Linked DNA regions of Arabidopsis thaliana. The protein of the gene in region 1 purifies or fractionates together with the protein of each later gene. This does not show direct contact. Each region holds a gene or a part of one and is shown in the gene's direction. Other genes may lie near its edges.

Evidence for each region.
Region 2: the proteins of APC11 (region 1) and EMB2771 purify together in Arabidopsis thaliana (affinity purification with mass spectrometry, with the first as the bait; one large-scale study listed by BioGRID). This does not show direct contact.
Region 3: the proteins of APC11 (region 1) and AT4G38780 purify together in Arabidopsis thaliana (affinity purification with mass spectrometry, with the first as the bait; one large-scale study listed by BioGRID). This does not show direct contact.

Annotation. Positions count from the first base shown.
Region 1 is NC_003074.8:1,751,565-1,755,641, forward strand, and holds APC11 (anaphase-promoting complex/cyclosome 11), read left to right. Parts: upstream 1-1,724; 5' UTR 1,725-1,931; exon of another isoform or gene 1,932-2,387; 5' UTR 2,388-2,396; coding exon of another isoform or gene 2,397-2,425; 5' UTR 2,426-2,710; coding exon 2,711-2,748; intron 2,749-2,835; coding exon of another isoform or gene 2,836-2,837; coding exon 2,838-2,956; intron 2,957-3,122; coding exon 3,123-3,238; 3' UTR 3,239-3,577; downstream 3,578-4,077. Other genes in the region: AT3G05860 (MADS-box transcription factor family protein), read right to left, coding at 1-48, 139-171, 249-791. UniProt on the Arabidopsis thaliana protein: Component of the anaphase promoting complex/cyclosome (APC/C), a cell cycle-regulated E3 ubiquitin-protein ligase complex that controls progression through mitosis and the G1 phase of the cell cycle.
Region 2 is NC_003076.8:1,638,367-1,643,126, forward strand, and holds the start of EMB2771 (E3 ubiquitin ligase), read left to right. Parts: upstream 1-2,184; 5' UTR 2,185-2,835; intron 2,836-2,944; 5' UTR 2,945-3,085; coding exon 3,086-3,294; intron 3,295-3,530; coding exon 3,531-3,594; intron 3,595-3,837; coding exon 3,838-3,922; intron 3,923-4,352; coding exon 4,353-4,639; intron 4,640-4,760. Other genes in the region: SDN2 (small RNA degrading nuclease 2), read left to right, coding at 1-75, 151-393; AT5G05550 (sequence-specific DNA binding transcription factor), read right to left, coding at 1,163-1,185, 1,458-2,184.
Region 3 is NC_003075.7:18,108,054-18,112,996, reverse strand, and holds the start of AT4G38780 (pre-mRNA-processing-splicing factor-like protein), read left to right. Parts: upstream 1-1,956; 5' UTR 1,957-1,967; coding exon 1,968-2,164; intron 2,165-2,372; coding exon 2,373-2,496; intron 2,497-2,578; coding exon 2,579-2,671; intron 2,672-2,763; coding exon 2,764-3,154; intron 3,155-3,254; coding exon 3,255-3,747; intron 3,748-3,842; coding exon 3,843-4,633; intron 4,634-4,732; coding exon 4,733-4,943. Other genes in the region: AT4G38790 (ER lumen protein retaining receptor family protein), read right to left, coding at 20-68, 152-276, 404-484, 563-703, 781-980, 1,346-1,571; AT4G38781 (uncharacterized protein), read left to right, coding at 1,804-1,956. UniProt on the Arabidopsis thaliana protein: Functions as a scaffold that mediates the ordered assembly of spliceosomal proteins and snRNAs. Required for the assembly of the U4/U6-U5 tri-snRNP complex.

The DNA of each region.
Region 1 (4,077 bases):
TTGTTGATATTGATATTGATTATGACTAAGATGATTAAAATTTGGATTCTGATCATAAACACCAAATGGATTTATCACTAGAGAATAACTTTACTGGTCAGCATCACTAGATAGAAAATTACTGGAGAAGATATTAACCTGATTTGGTCGCTGGATTGAAGAGATAATAGGCTTCAAAGACGAGAAATCATTGATTAGTCAAGGAGAGTTGAAAACATCGAGATAATTGGAAAGGAATAAGAACTCACTTCAACAACAGATGTTGGTGTCATGGCATTTGTAGCTCCCGAAGATTCTCCAGGTTCAATATGTGATTGATTTATGGTTTTGTTTTTGTGGTGATAAAGTTCTTTAAGATATTGATCAATGTACTTACACAAATCTTCACGGTTTCTATCAGTCAAATTAAGCTTCTCCCCTTTTCCACTAAGAAGTTGGAACATGGCTTCTTTCATCGTCCTCTCCGCATTATCGATCATCTTTTTGTTGTTACTCTCCATAGTTTTTGAGATGTTTTGTCTGATAAAACCTTCGTGGCTCACCATTTTCTTCTCTTGCTCCAACTTTGTCAACATCTCAAAATTTTCCATTACATTTTTAACTTCTGAATTCGATGGCCAGACTTCAGGGTTTGAGTTGAACGGACTATAAATCACTGCACATGCTTCGATTCCGCAGAGAACGGAAAGCTCGTGGATTTTTTTCACAAGCCCTTTCTTTCTCTTATTGAATGTTGCTTTTCTCATTGACTCATTGGTGATGTAAGATAGGTTTAGCTTCTTCCTCGTCATGGTAATGACAACAATAAAAAGGAATTTGTATGTCTAGTATCAAATATGTTTTGTATTGTTGTATGTTGTGTATTGTTTTTATCATGAGTTTGTTTATATGGAACAATCAACTGTTCAAGTGATGATCTCACAAATAGCTGGCAATTAAAAATATTGTAATTAAATGCACCAAAGTTCTTAATTAATATGAAATAATGCATAGTTATGCCACTTGGTACAAATAACAAAAATTATTGGCCAAAGTTTTTGAGTTGGCTACATCAAGATTACATCATAAATTCTGGTTATGAATGAATAATATGAGAACAATAAAAGAACTTTCCATTTAGATGATGAAGATATATATATTGTAATTAAATTTAGAGATTGTTTTCTATGTAAGTATGTACATCAAAATACAAATTATAAATATTTATTATTTTAGTTTGAATAACAGCTAATATGTACATTCAATAAAATTATTTACCTTTCGTGGACAATAGGACTAATAACTAGATTTAGAAAATGTATTCAATACATTGCATCTTCTCTAATGATTTATATTTGGATATGATAAAATACTTTTTGGTATTCAACTAATTTTACAGGTTGTCAAGTATATTACGTAAGATTTTGTAAAAAAAAAATTATTCTTTTAAATAAGATTTACTAGTACTAAAGGTATTTAACTGGTTGTAAACTTGTAGTGTTCTAGTAATATTGAAAATAAACATATTCTTCGTAAAAAATGATCAAACATTCTCAGATATATGAATGATCAAATCCAAAAAGAGATATGTTTATATCCAACATGTATATATCATAATTAAAAAAGTTTTAATATAATCCATCGTTTCAATACTTTTAAGAATTAAGATATCGAGATTAGTGACATCATATGATCTCTTCATAACTTTCGTAGATTGGATAAGTAAAAACAAACCCGTTATTTGGGCTTTTAATCTTAAAGCCCAATTTATTTCTCGGGCCAAAATCAATGAAACACGTCCGTCTCTTTTTCTCCTTCGTTTCGTTTCGTCACGCTCTTTCCCAAGTCCGATCCTCTCGCCATTGCCAGCAAAATTTCTTTCCCGGTTAAGAATTTTTCTATTTCGATTTCATCGTTCGGCTACACCATCGATCTTCACACTTATTTTTTAGGTATGTTCTTGTTGATCTTGTTTTTCGGACTTTGTAATGTGGTACCAGTTTTAGATAATTAGTTCTTGATAATTACGCTCAAATTCCGTTGCTTGGCACTGATTTATTCTGCGTTCGGTACTGATGATCGTTCTTCATTCTCATTCCGATGATTCTGTGGAGTTCACTGATCTAAGTTTGATTTTGGCATACCAGTTGTTCGATTAAATGCCTGAAAGAGAAAACATTCAATTCGTAAATTTCATATTTTGTCTTTGTTTTGGTTTATGATATTTTTATCTAATCTTAAGGCTTAACTTTCAAATACGTCTTGTATACGTGTTGCACAGAAGAGTTATACCTTGAGTTTTTGTTTGTGTAGTCTTTTGTTAGTAGTCTCTAATTTTACGAGTCTGTAACCATCTTTAGGCTTATAACAGGGTTTTTGAAACTGATTGAAGGTTTTTATTTATCCAGGAGGAAGCTATGAAAGTCAAGATCTTGCGTATCCTTTTGTTGCTTCATCTCTTCTTAGCTTTTTTGGGGGAAAGTTTATATTAGGTTAAGTGATAAATCATCCCAGGACTTTTGATGGTGATCATCTGATATGATAATAAACATCTTAAGTCTGTTTATCGTGTATTAGCTTTACCGAGTTAGATTCCCAGCTTGATGATTCATAATAACTTTTTGCATCTTCCATTGGTTTATTTAATAGACTAGGTTTGTTCAAAATGCCTGCATTTCGCTTTGTTGCACAAGTAAAAGAAGAAAAACGAAATTGTTGCTCTTGACTTTCTATGCTACTTCTGTCCTGCATACCCAAAAAAAAAACAGAGTAGGTTCCTCGTCCCTTTAGCTTTAACACATGAGCTCTTACAATGCGGAGTTTCTATTGTTGTAACTGATTGTTTCTCCCTGGAATAGATGGCATGCAGTTGCTTCATGGACATGGGATGCTCAAGACGAAACATGTGGGATATGTCGGATGGCTTTTGATGGTTGTTGTCCTGATTGCAAACTTCCTGGAGATGATTGCCCTCTAAGTAAAGTTCTCTTCTTTCATGTCTTCGCTTTTATATATGTTGCTTAGAACACCCACTATTTCTCTTGCTTACGGAAACATTGCTAAACATTTACTTATGGTAATAACTCAAAACAAAACTGCATGCCTTAGACCTTATCTGTTTTGGTGTTTTGGTGTTTGGGCAGTTTGGGGAGCCTGCAACCACGCGTTTCATCTTCACTGTATATTGAAATGGGTGAATTCGCAGACGAGCCAAGCTCATTGCCCAATGTGCAGAAGAGAATGGCAGTTCAAAGAGTAAGCAAGTTATGAGGAGGATTAGTCTGCAGCTCTCGTCATAGGGGATGTTTTGGAATGATCTCGTGTAGTTGTATTTGGACCGTTAGTGTTGAGTATGATCATCTGCTGAAACGCAAGATAGAGCTTTAGTAATGTTTTTGAAGCTTGTCCTTGGTTTGATTGCTTGGACAAAGTAGAGATCAAGCAACTTTTTGTGAGCTTCATCATCTATATGGTCTTTGTTTGTAGTTAATACTTTTTTTTTTTTTTTTGTATCACGTCGCCTTTGAATTGGTTAATATATGATTGGTTCTTAGTTAATTTTTCATTACTATATTAAAACGAAAAACAATATACATTTTGAATTTACGTTGATGAATCGACCGTTTGGTTAGTGACTCATAATTTTCAGTTCAAAATAAATTCTATAGTCAAATTCAGTTGAATTTTTTCTTTTTTTAATCACAAGAGATACATTCATTAGTATGAGTCTATACTAATCTGCAGAAGGAAAGTCCCTAAAGTCTAAACATTCAATTGATTTAATTCGATGATTGAAATAAGATATAGTATTAAGTAGTCATATCAAAATTGAGTTATAAGTTATAACAACCGGTGGGTGTGAGTACGCAGTGATCCTCGTGGGTATCGCTAATGGTGCCAAGTAATGGGGCCAATTTATTGGTGATGAAATGATAGCGTAAGGTATAAGGTATAATGGTTAATGGTGGTCCTGTGATCCACCAAGGCAACACAATTTCCAATTTATTGTAATAAACCAACTATATTTTTAAAAAATCTTCACACAAAGTACAAACCAACGCTCTCTTCTTTTATATCAACACAACATTTATATAACAA
Region 2 (4,760 bases), on another chromosome or scaffold:
AGCGCGATTGTTGTTTTTAAAAGTCCAGAAGAAGCAAATCAAGCATTTGAAAACATTGCTGGAGACTTTGGAAAGGTAATTTAGCATCATATCTTTGGTTATTTCACAGATGGTGGTGATATAACAAGTTTCTATGTATTTCTCTTACAGGATTCGAGGGGGTTGTCACAAAAACAGATCTTTCTAGAGCCGAGTTCATCAGAACCTAGATTATATGTTCTCGTTCGTAAAATGGTCGAAGATGATTTGGTTGGGGAAGTCATAGCAGAGGAGAATAATGCGAGTTCTAAGAAACGGAAGAGAGAAAATCATTCTAAAGGGACCAGAGATAGACGCAGGTGTAAACCATTGTCCAGACGAAAACAGAGAAGCAATGTCAAACGAAGAAGATAATATCAAGGAAAATCAAGAACTCAAAGCAAAATGATAAGATGATAATTGGTCCGGATTCTTGAAAATTGCTTTCACTGTGACTCTAGTTTGTGTTTGGTCATCGTTGATGCCCTTAATGAACCTTGGATAGTATTTTGCCAATTTAAAGGTTAAAGAACTCAGAGACTATTGATTTAAGATACTCGGATGCAACTGCATACTTGTGGATGTATTATATATATCTTATGATAAGTGGTTATGATAAAAATTTAGACATGAAAAAGCCCAAGAAGAAGCATAAACATGTAACTGTTAAGCATCAGAAGCTGTAGTTTGGATACACAAGCCATCATTATACGTGGACACTAACACAAATGTAGATCATACTTGTCAGCTACTAAAGAGTTAAGGAAGATTTGCTCCAGTACACCAATGTACACTAACACGCTAGAAAGTAGAAGAAAACAAACAAAGACATCCTAAAGAGTTCTCTAACTTCCATCCTACAGATTAAAACAAGTAACAGGATCCTCCAATTTCAATGAGCTTCAGATTCAAGTAACTCCTCTTTGCTTCACCATGGTATTTCCTCCACCAATCTAATTCTACAATTGCTTACCTGTACAATAAAGGCAGATCAAACTTCAGTGAACTCATTACCATATGAAGAATGTTCGACTACTATGAACATTGATCTTTTTTCTCAATTTCAAACCTGGAAGTCTACTCCTCCTAATCCAGTTCAACATTCCACGAAGCTGGAGAAGCTAAAGAAGTAAGAGAATGCTATCTAGACTTTTCCTTGCCAGACCACTGGAAGCACAGAAGCTCAACTGAATTGTATATTGACAAAATTGGTATTCTTCAAAAGCAGAGAGGCACATGACTTTCACATATCAACAATAAGTCAATTACTAACCAGCCTCATCCATGCTTACAACAACTAACAGCATAGGTATAACATTGTTGTTGAAATCTAAGGTCCTTCCACGGATACATTATGCGGTTTAAAGAGAAAGAGTAACAACCATGTAAAGTCTAAGCCACCACTAGTAACTTGAAAACCTAATGTGAGTTCTTCTTACCTGAAGCACTTGCGCGTTTCCGGTGCTTTGATTTCTCAATCTCTAACTGCATCTCCATCAACATGTTCATTCGTTTTAACTCTACCTCCTTTGTCACTTCCATTCTCTGCTTCTCCAACTCAATCATCATCTGTTGCTTCTTCCCTTCAATTCTCTCGTAAACTTCTCCAAACTTGAGAATCGCCGTAGCTAGTTCCCTACACGTTGATCCTTCACTCAGATCTACCTCTTCCACACGAGGATGCTTCCTAGCAACGAATTCCCAATCACCAACCTCATCATCATCCTCATCATCATCTTCAAGAGAGCTTCCAGTAGAGTTCGATCCAGTTGGATTCAGATGATTCTTAAAAGGCGCTGATTTGACAACTCCGCCAGCCGATTTCTTCACAACGGGACCGATTAGAACATCGAGGCGGTTATAGAAACGCCAAGTCGACGGCGAGAGTTTAGCTTTCTCTGTTTTGTACTTCTTCTTCAAAGTATCGACCCGGTTCTTACACTGTAAGTCGGTCTTCTTACGGCTGTTATCACCGTGTCTAGAGTTAACGGCGTCGGCGACGTCTTTCCAGTCATTCTGCCGGAGATTTCCGTGGTTCAGCTTGACGTAACGATTGCCCCAGGCTTCTACCAGCGTCGCCGTCGCTTCCTCACTCCACCAGTCTTCTCTTCCCAACGGCGGTCGGTGGGACACACTTGATTTTGACTGCGGCGTCGTCGTCTCCATTCGTCGGGAGTAGTGTTGCTAATGTGCGCACCGGGAGGAGAGTGACGGCGTAGGATAAGATCGGAATAGAAACAAACAAAACATAAAAAGAAGTTTTTTTTTTTTGGTGGGAGGAAACCGGAATGGGAGAGAAGAGGATAAGTGTGGCCTGACATTGATGACCGGCGGTGACGTCACTGACCGTATTGGAGCGTTTTGGTCCCAACGGCGATTATCCGTTAAGACCGAACCAATCTCTTTGGTCTCGTTAGTACTTATGATTAAACTGTTAAAAAAAACCTCATAATTTTTCATTTATCCCAAAACAAACCTCAAACTAAAAAGATTACATAAATAAACCTCTAAAAGTGACAGATTGGGTCAATAGCAAATAGTTGGAAATATTTTAGTTTTATTTCATTTTAAGCCTTCAAGTTTTACTTCTTTCCAATGTTTAAATTTTGTCTTTCATAAGCTCAGACTTCGTCCCAGATTTCATTGCATCTAGCACAGAAAGTGTTTGATTAAATTCCTCTGAGAACATCTCTCTTTCACTAAGCGAAATCTTCCGACTTTCGATACTTTTTTGAACCTCACTTTCTTCATTCCGTTCAGTTTAGAGCCTCGACAATCATCGGAACTCGTTTGAAACCTCTCTATCCGGTTTCTAATGTAAGTGACAATTCTTCCTACTCACTTCTTCTTCTTCTTCTTCTTCTTCTTCTTCAATGTTATCTTCCTCTGTCTCGCTTACTTTTCATAAAACGATTTCGACCCGCAGGTTTAAAGAGAAATGAGAATCTCAAATAAAATTTTGAAAATAGAAAAGACTAGGGTTTAAGCGCTAAGACAACTTGGAAAGAGCGGGAGAGTGTAAATTAAACTTCACCAATCTCCATTGCCTGTTGGCTTCGGAGAAAAAATGCCTCCAGGGGTTCGCCAACTTACCGTCCTCGGAAAGTTTAAACCTTTCGGTCTAATCGCCGAAGCTACTGATGGTAAATCACCGGATGATTCCTATCAGTATTTCCTCTTCGATCCTGAGCTCACTGGCGAGCGAGATGATGCTGATGGCAATGATGCCAACTTCTCGCGGCAGAGAGAGCACGAGCTCTTCATCCGAGACAACTGGTAAGAAATGTATACAATTTGCTGATTACTCTATAACTCTGCACCACTTCATGAATTTGTTATCACTTCAATTTCGAATGTGTTTTCCTATTCTTCAAGTTTGCCTCTTTCTTCCAGTAATGTCCGTAAGGGTTATGCTTTAGTAGAAGCTAATTTCATTGGATATTGGTATAACGTATCTAGCTGAATTGCGGTTCGTTTCTGTACCTGACGATGAAATTTTGATTTGATGATAGCATAATCTGGACAAGCGGTTCGCGGGTCCTCAAGCGTTTTACCTTGTCTTCTGCCGTCATTAAGGTGATTTCCATTAGAATTTTGGCTCTTTGTCTCTCAAGTTTTCCCGTTTGAAAATCTATGGATTCTTATCTGTGACAATCCTTGATTAAACAAATCTAGCTATGTCTTAACAATGCTTTTCTGTTGTATTGGTGGATACGTTATCTGTTCCACATGAATTAACAAAAACATAGACAAAAATATTTTCCATCTATTTGATGCGTCAGAAAGACTGTTTTAACTCATAGCTTTTTTATGTCATAGGCATGCTGGAGCAACCTTGGTCGAGGGACAGAAGCTTTTCTTTGTGTATTACAAATTGCTTGCTTAACAATCTACAACACATCAGGTAATTGTGGCTAGATACCTCTGAACTATAATATTTCTGCACTATCCGACTTTTTCCATTATACCCTAATGGATTCTTATATGGTTTGCTTCTAACGAAAGGACAATCTCATACTGGTGCACATAGTTGGTCCCTTTCTTTATGATTCATTTGAAATTGTGTAATTACAAATGAAAATTTATGGAATCGGTTTATGAAGAATAGATTTCAGGTAGCTTTCTGTGCATTGATAGCTTTTTGAACGTTCAAGTTGATTGATTAACTTTTAGCCGTTCTATTTCTAGTTTCCTTTCATCTGCTCTTGGAAATATATTGCGTATTCCTTTTTACTTGTTGACTAGATCTGATTAATCAGTACTGTTTGTCTCTTTTCTGAGGTAACACTAGCTGAGGTAATTACTTTCTGATTTTTGGCAATTGTTGGCAACAGGCGAAGTTGTATCTGTTCCACTAATGCGTACTGTCAAATCAATATGGCCTCTACCATGTGGTCTACTTCTTGAGCAAGCTGGTGAAGTGAATCCACCCTCACATGTTCCATTTTCTCCTGTTAGCCCCATCCTTGGTTCTCGTGAGATGCTGCGCCAAAGAAAAGAAGTTGGGAATAGTTCACCACAAAACTTCCATTCCCCAGTCGCGCATGACCTTATTAGCAAAAGAGATATGCCATGCATGTCTTCCCATCTGATTCTAAGAGATCCACTAGAGGAACCTGGGGTAAATGAACTCATCATTTTGTAGATATTCCTTGTAACTTTATTTCTGCTTCAAGCCAGTCTTTCTTTATATCGGGACCTATATTATTTCTTTCTTGTTGTCTCAACAGCACATAAATGTT
Region 3 (4,943 bases), on another chromosome or scaffold:
GTATTTCTATCTTTTGAACTTATACTACTCCAGACGGTAGCCGGAGAACAAGCTGGCCTCCGAAAACGCTGTAAAGAAAAATGTTGAAACTTTTGAGATATATACAAAGAGCTAAATAGCTAAACTGTTGAAGTGAAGGACTAATGCGTACCTTTTGACGTAGTAGTAACAGAAATCTGCCAAGATGAAAGTTTGAACAATTTCTGAGATCAGAACCATTGATGGCCACAATCCATAACCCAATGCTACAAGCAACCGTCCCCGCGTGTCCACAACCTATTTTCAGCACATTAGACAATGTATTCAGCTATTCAAAATCGACTTTTAAGGTACTAATCCAATCGAGTATAGGAATCACCACTATTGGTATAACCTCTATCCACTCTTGAAGATCAAAACTAACCTGTAAAACCCAGTGGGCACAGCTGAGGAACCTTGCTACTCCAAGTGCAAAAACATAATGAGCCGTGAACGGTTCAACAATCTGAAAACCAAATAGACGCGGATTAGAGAGTAAAACAAATGTAGTTCTCTACTTGACATTGTGAAATAAAGTAGTGACCTTTGTGTTCTGCATCACTCGTAGCTGAGGTAGTACTGAAACAGCTTCAAGGTATACACATAAAGCCCATGAAATTCTGTTTATTATGTTATGAGAGGTCGATGGATGGATGAACACAGCTAATGCAACACAGGGCGCAAGCTGCAAAAATTGAAATCAGATCATTGTCACTGTAAATGATAACAAACAACTCGAGGATCAAAACCAGATTGACTTACCACATAATAGAGAGGAAAGTTGTCTTTGTCCTCCATGTAACTAGCTCTTAACTTGAAACGAATCATAAATATAACCCAGAGAGTTGTTCCCAAAGTAGCCAAGTCAAGAATGGTATGTATATCATATTCCATTACAATGCTACAATACAGCCTAACAGCTAAAAATATCGCCGTAAGCTCCTGAGATTTCAGTGACAATCCTGCAAAATCATTCACAAAGTTATATAAACACATCGAAGGTAAACACTTTCGATTTAAAAAAAGAACCATAGAATGCATCTTAAACCCTAAATTGCCAATTGAATCCTTGATTATAAAGATGATGATTCTACGAATTACGGCTAAAGGCTGCTTCCGGGAGCAGATAATAGTGGTAAACCAATGAAATCCTGATCAAAGCTCGAAAATTTGGACGCGATTATGAGGAAAAACAAAAAAGTTGTGACGTTGAAAAGTAATTTTGCTAAGAACAGAGGAATACATACGATCAGAAGCTGATAAGGCAGGACTGAGTTGAAAAACCCTAAAAATGGATGTGATAAAGACAAGACACATAGAATAGTACCGGCACAGGTCTTCTCCTTCATGAGTTTGTAGATGAGCACACAGATCCCGATGGAATGAACAGCCTCAGCGGCAACGAAGAGATTGTCGTGATCGTGAACAATGAATCTGAGAAGAACCAAAGCCGCCATGCCAGTGACCACGGCGAGAAAAGCCTTCACCTTCGGAGGTTGTCTCCTAACCCATGACCACACCACGTGGATCGGAGTCTTCGTCGTCGCCTTCATGTTTTGCTTTTTTTCGCTTTTCTTCTTCTTCTGTCTCTGATTTTCTCGGCAAAAGTGAAAAAGGTAACTTCTGATCGAGAGAGATTAAAAAGTCTGGTTTTGGTTGACTTGAATGTAAATTACCAAATCACCCCTTCCACACATCTCTTACTCTTAAATACTAAATGAGCCGTGACTGAATCCATAAATTAGGCCCATAATCGTATCTATTGTTTTTCTAAAAGGCCCATGAATGCCTTCGTATATATATGTTCGTTCGGTTAATCGTCTTTCTTACCAACCTCACCCGACGACGGTGATTTTAGGGATTTTCGTGTTCGTCAAGGCTCGCACTGAGGTTTTAGGGTTTTGCTCCTCGGCGATTTTGCTGGGCCTTTGGATTTGAAATCTGAAGCTATGTGGAACATTGATGGTACGTCCTTAGCTCCTCCTGGTACCGACGGTTCGAGGATGCAGACACCTTCACATCCCGCTGATCATCCTTCTTACACGGCGCCTTCTAATCGGAATACTCCGACGGTTCCTACTCCCGAGGATGCAGAGGCGAAGCTTGAGAAGAAGGCGAGAACATGGATGCAGCTAAATTCCAAACGGTACGGCGACAAGAGGAAGTTTGGGTTCGTGGAAACTCAGAAGGAGGACATGCCACCTGAGCACGTTAGGAAAATCATCAGGCGAGTTTCTAATTTTTCAATTTCGATTTCGAAATCCAGTTGACTGGGAAACGAATCTGGTCCAATTTCTTTGTATTATTAGGTTTGGGTTAAGTTAGATTGAAACTGACTCTGCGTTTTGATTCAGGGATCATGGTGATATGTCATCAAAGAAACATCGACTTGATAAACGTGTATATCTTGGAGCACTTAAGTTCGTTCCTCACGCAGTTTTCAAGCTCCTGGAGAATATGCCTATGCCCTGGGAACAGGTAATTATTCACTTAGTGATCTATATCTCGCTTTAGTTGTTCTCCTGCTCTGCTCAAAATTTTGAACTCAGATATTTTCCAGGTCCGGGACGTGAAGGTCTTGTACCACATCACTGGAGCTATTACATTTGTGAACGAAGTACGATGGGTTGTGGAACCTATTTACATGGCTCAGGTGGGTGAATAATCTCCCTCTCTCTTCTTTTGTGTCTGTGCATTTGTGAATTTGTGAGACATGTTTTCTAGTGATGATTCTTTCGTTTGCAGTGGGGTTCTATGTGGATAATGATGAGAAGGGAGAAGAGGGATCGTCGTCATTTCAAGAGAATGCGGTTTCCACCATTTGATGATGAGGAGCCCCCTCTAGACTATGCTGATAACCTGTTGGACGTTGATCCTCTAGAGGCAATTCAGTTGGAGCTAGATGAAGAAGAAGATTCTGCTGTGTACTCTTGGTTTTACGACCACAAGCCACTTGTAAAAACAAAAATGATCAATGGTCCAAGTTACCAGACGTGGAATCTCTCACTTCCAATTATGTCAACCCTTCACAGGCTTGCAGCCCAGTTGTTGTCTGATTTGGTTGATCGCAACTACTTCTACTTGTTTGACATGCCATCATTCTTTACTGCAAAGGCACTGAACATGTGCATACCAGGTAACGCTATACTCTATGTTCTCCTGTTCTGATATCTTCGTTTTCACAGTTGTTGTCCTTCTGTTCTCTTTCCCTGATTCAATTTGGTACTCTTTTTCAGGCGGTCCTAAGTTTGAGCCTTTGCATCGTGATATGGAGAAAGGAGATGAAGACTGGAATGAATTTAATGACATCAACAAGCTTATAATTCGATCCCCTCTGCGAACTGAGTACAAAGTAGCTTTCCCACATCTGTACAATAATAGGCCCAGGAAAGTAAAACTCTGTGTCTATCACACTCCTATGGTTATGTACATAAAGACTGAGGATCCTGACCTTCCTGCCTTTTATTATGATCCATTAATTCACCCCATAAGTAACTCTAATAACACTAATAAAGAACAGCGCAAAAGTAATGGTTATGATGATGATGGGGATGACTTTGTGTTACCAGAAGGACTGGAACCTTTGCTAAATAACTCGCCACTCTACACTGACACTACAGCTCCTGGCATTTCATTGTTGTTTGCCCCTCGGCCTTTCAATATGAGGTCTGGGAGGACTCGGCGGGCTGAAGATATACCCCTTGTTGCAGAGTGGTTTAAGGAGCACTGGTAAGCTAATTTTTCTGATGCTACTGTGGTTCTCTTTCCCCTTTTGAAATTTACTAGACATTGTATTAACTTCTTAGTTATCTCATTTTCTGCAGTCCTCCAGCATATCCTGTCAAAGTTCGGGTTAGTTACCAGAAGCTTTTGAAATGTTATCTACTGAATGAGCTGCACCATAGACCCCCTAAGGCTCAGAAGAAGAAGCATTTGTTTCGATCTCTTGCAGCTACAAAGTTTTTTCAGAGCACCGAACTGGATTGGGTTGAAGTGGGTCTGCAAGTCTGCCGGCAGGGGTATAATATGCTGAACCTGTTGATTCACAGGAAGAATTTGAACTACCTGCACCTTGATTATAACTTCAACCTCAAGCCTGTGAAAACTCTGACAACCAAGGAACGAAAGAAGTCGCGTTTTGGAAATGCTTTCCATCTCTGCCGTGAGATCCTCCGGCTGACAAAACTTGTAGTTGATGCAAATGTCCAGTTCCGACTTGGTAATGTTGATGCCTTTCAATTGGCTGATGGCCTGCAATATATTTTCTCCCATGTTGGGCAATTGACAGGTATGTATCGTTATAAGTACAGGCTTATGAGACAAATCAGGATGTGCAAGGATTTGAAACACTTGATCTATTACCGTTTCAATACTGGTCCTGTGGGTAAAGGACCAGGGTGTGGATTTTGGGCTCCAATGTGGAGGGTATGGTTGTTTTTCCTTCGCGGAATAGTTCCTCTTCTAGAACGATGGTTAGGGAATCTGCTTGCACGTCAATTTGAGGGGCGTCACTCAAAGGGAGTGGCCAAAACAGTCACAAAACAGAGAGTTGAAAGCCATTTTGATTTGGAGCTTCGAGCTGCTGTCATGCATGATGTTGTTGATGCAATGCCAGGTTCGCTTCTTGCGTCTATAACTGATTTGTTTTTCTCAAGGTCGATTTCCTTTAATTTTATCTCTTCCTTGTTGGTTTATACTGTCTTCTAATGTGCAGAGGGTATTAAGCAAAATAAGGCGCGGACGATATTGCAGCACCTTAGTGAGGCATGGCGGTGTTGGAAAGCTAATATACCATGGAAGGTCCCTGGATTACCTGTGGCAATTGAGAATATGATCCTCCGATATGTCAAGTCTAAAGCTGATTGGTGGACAAATGTTGCTCACTACAATCGTGAACGTATCAGAAGAGGGGCTACTGTTGATAA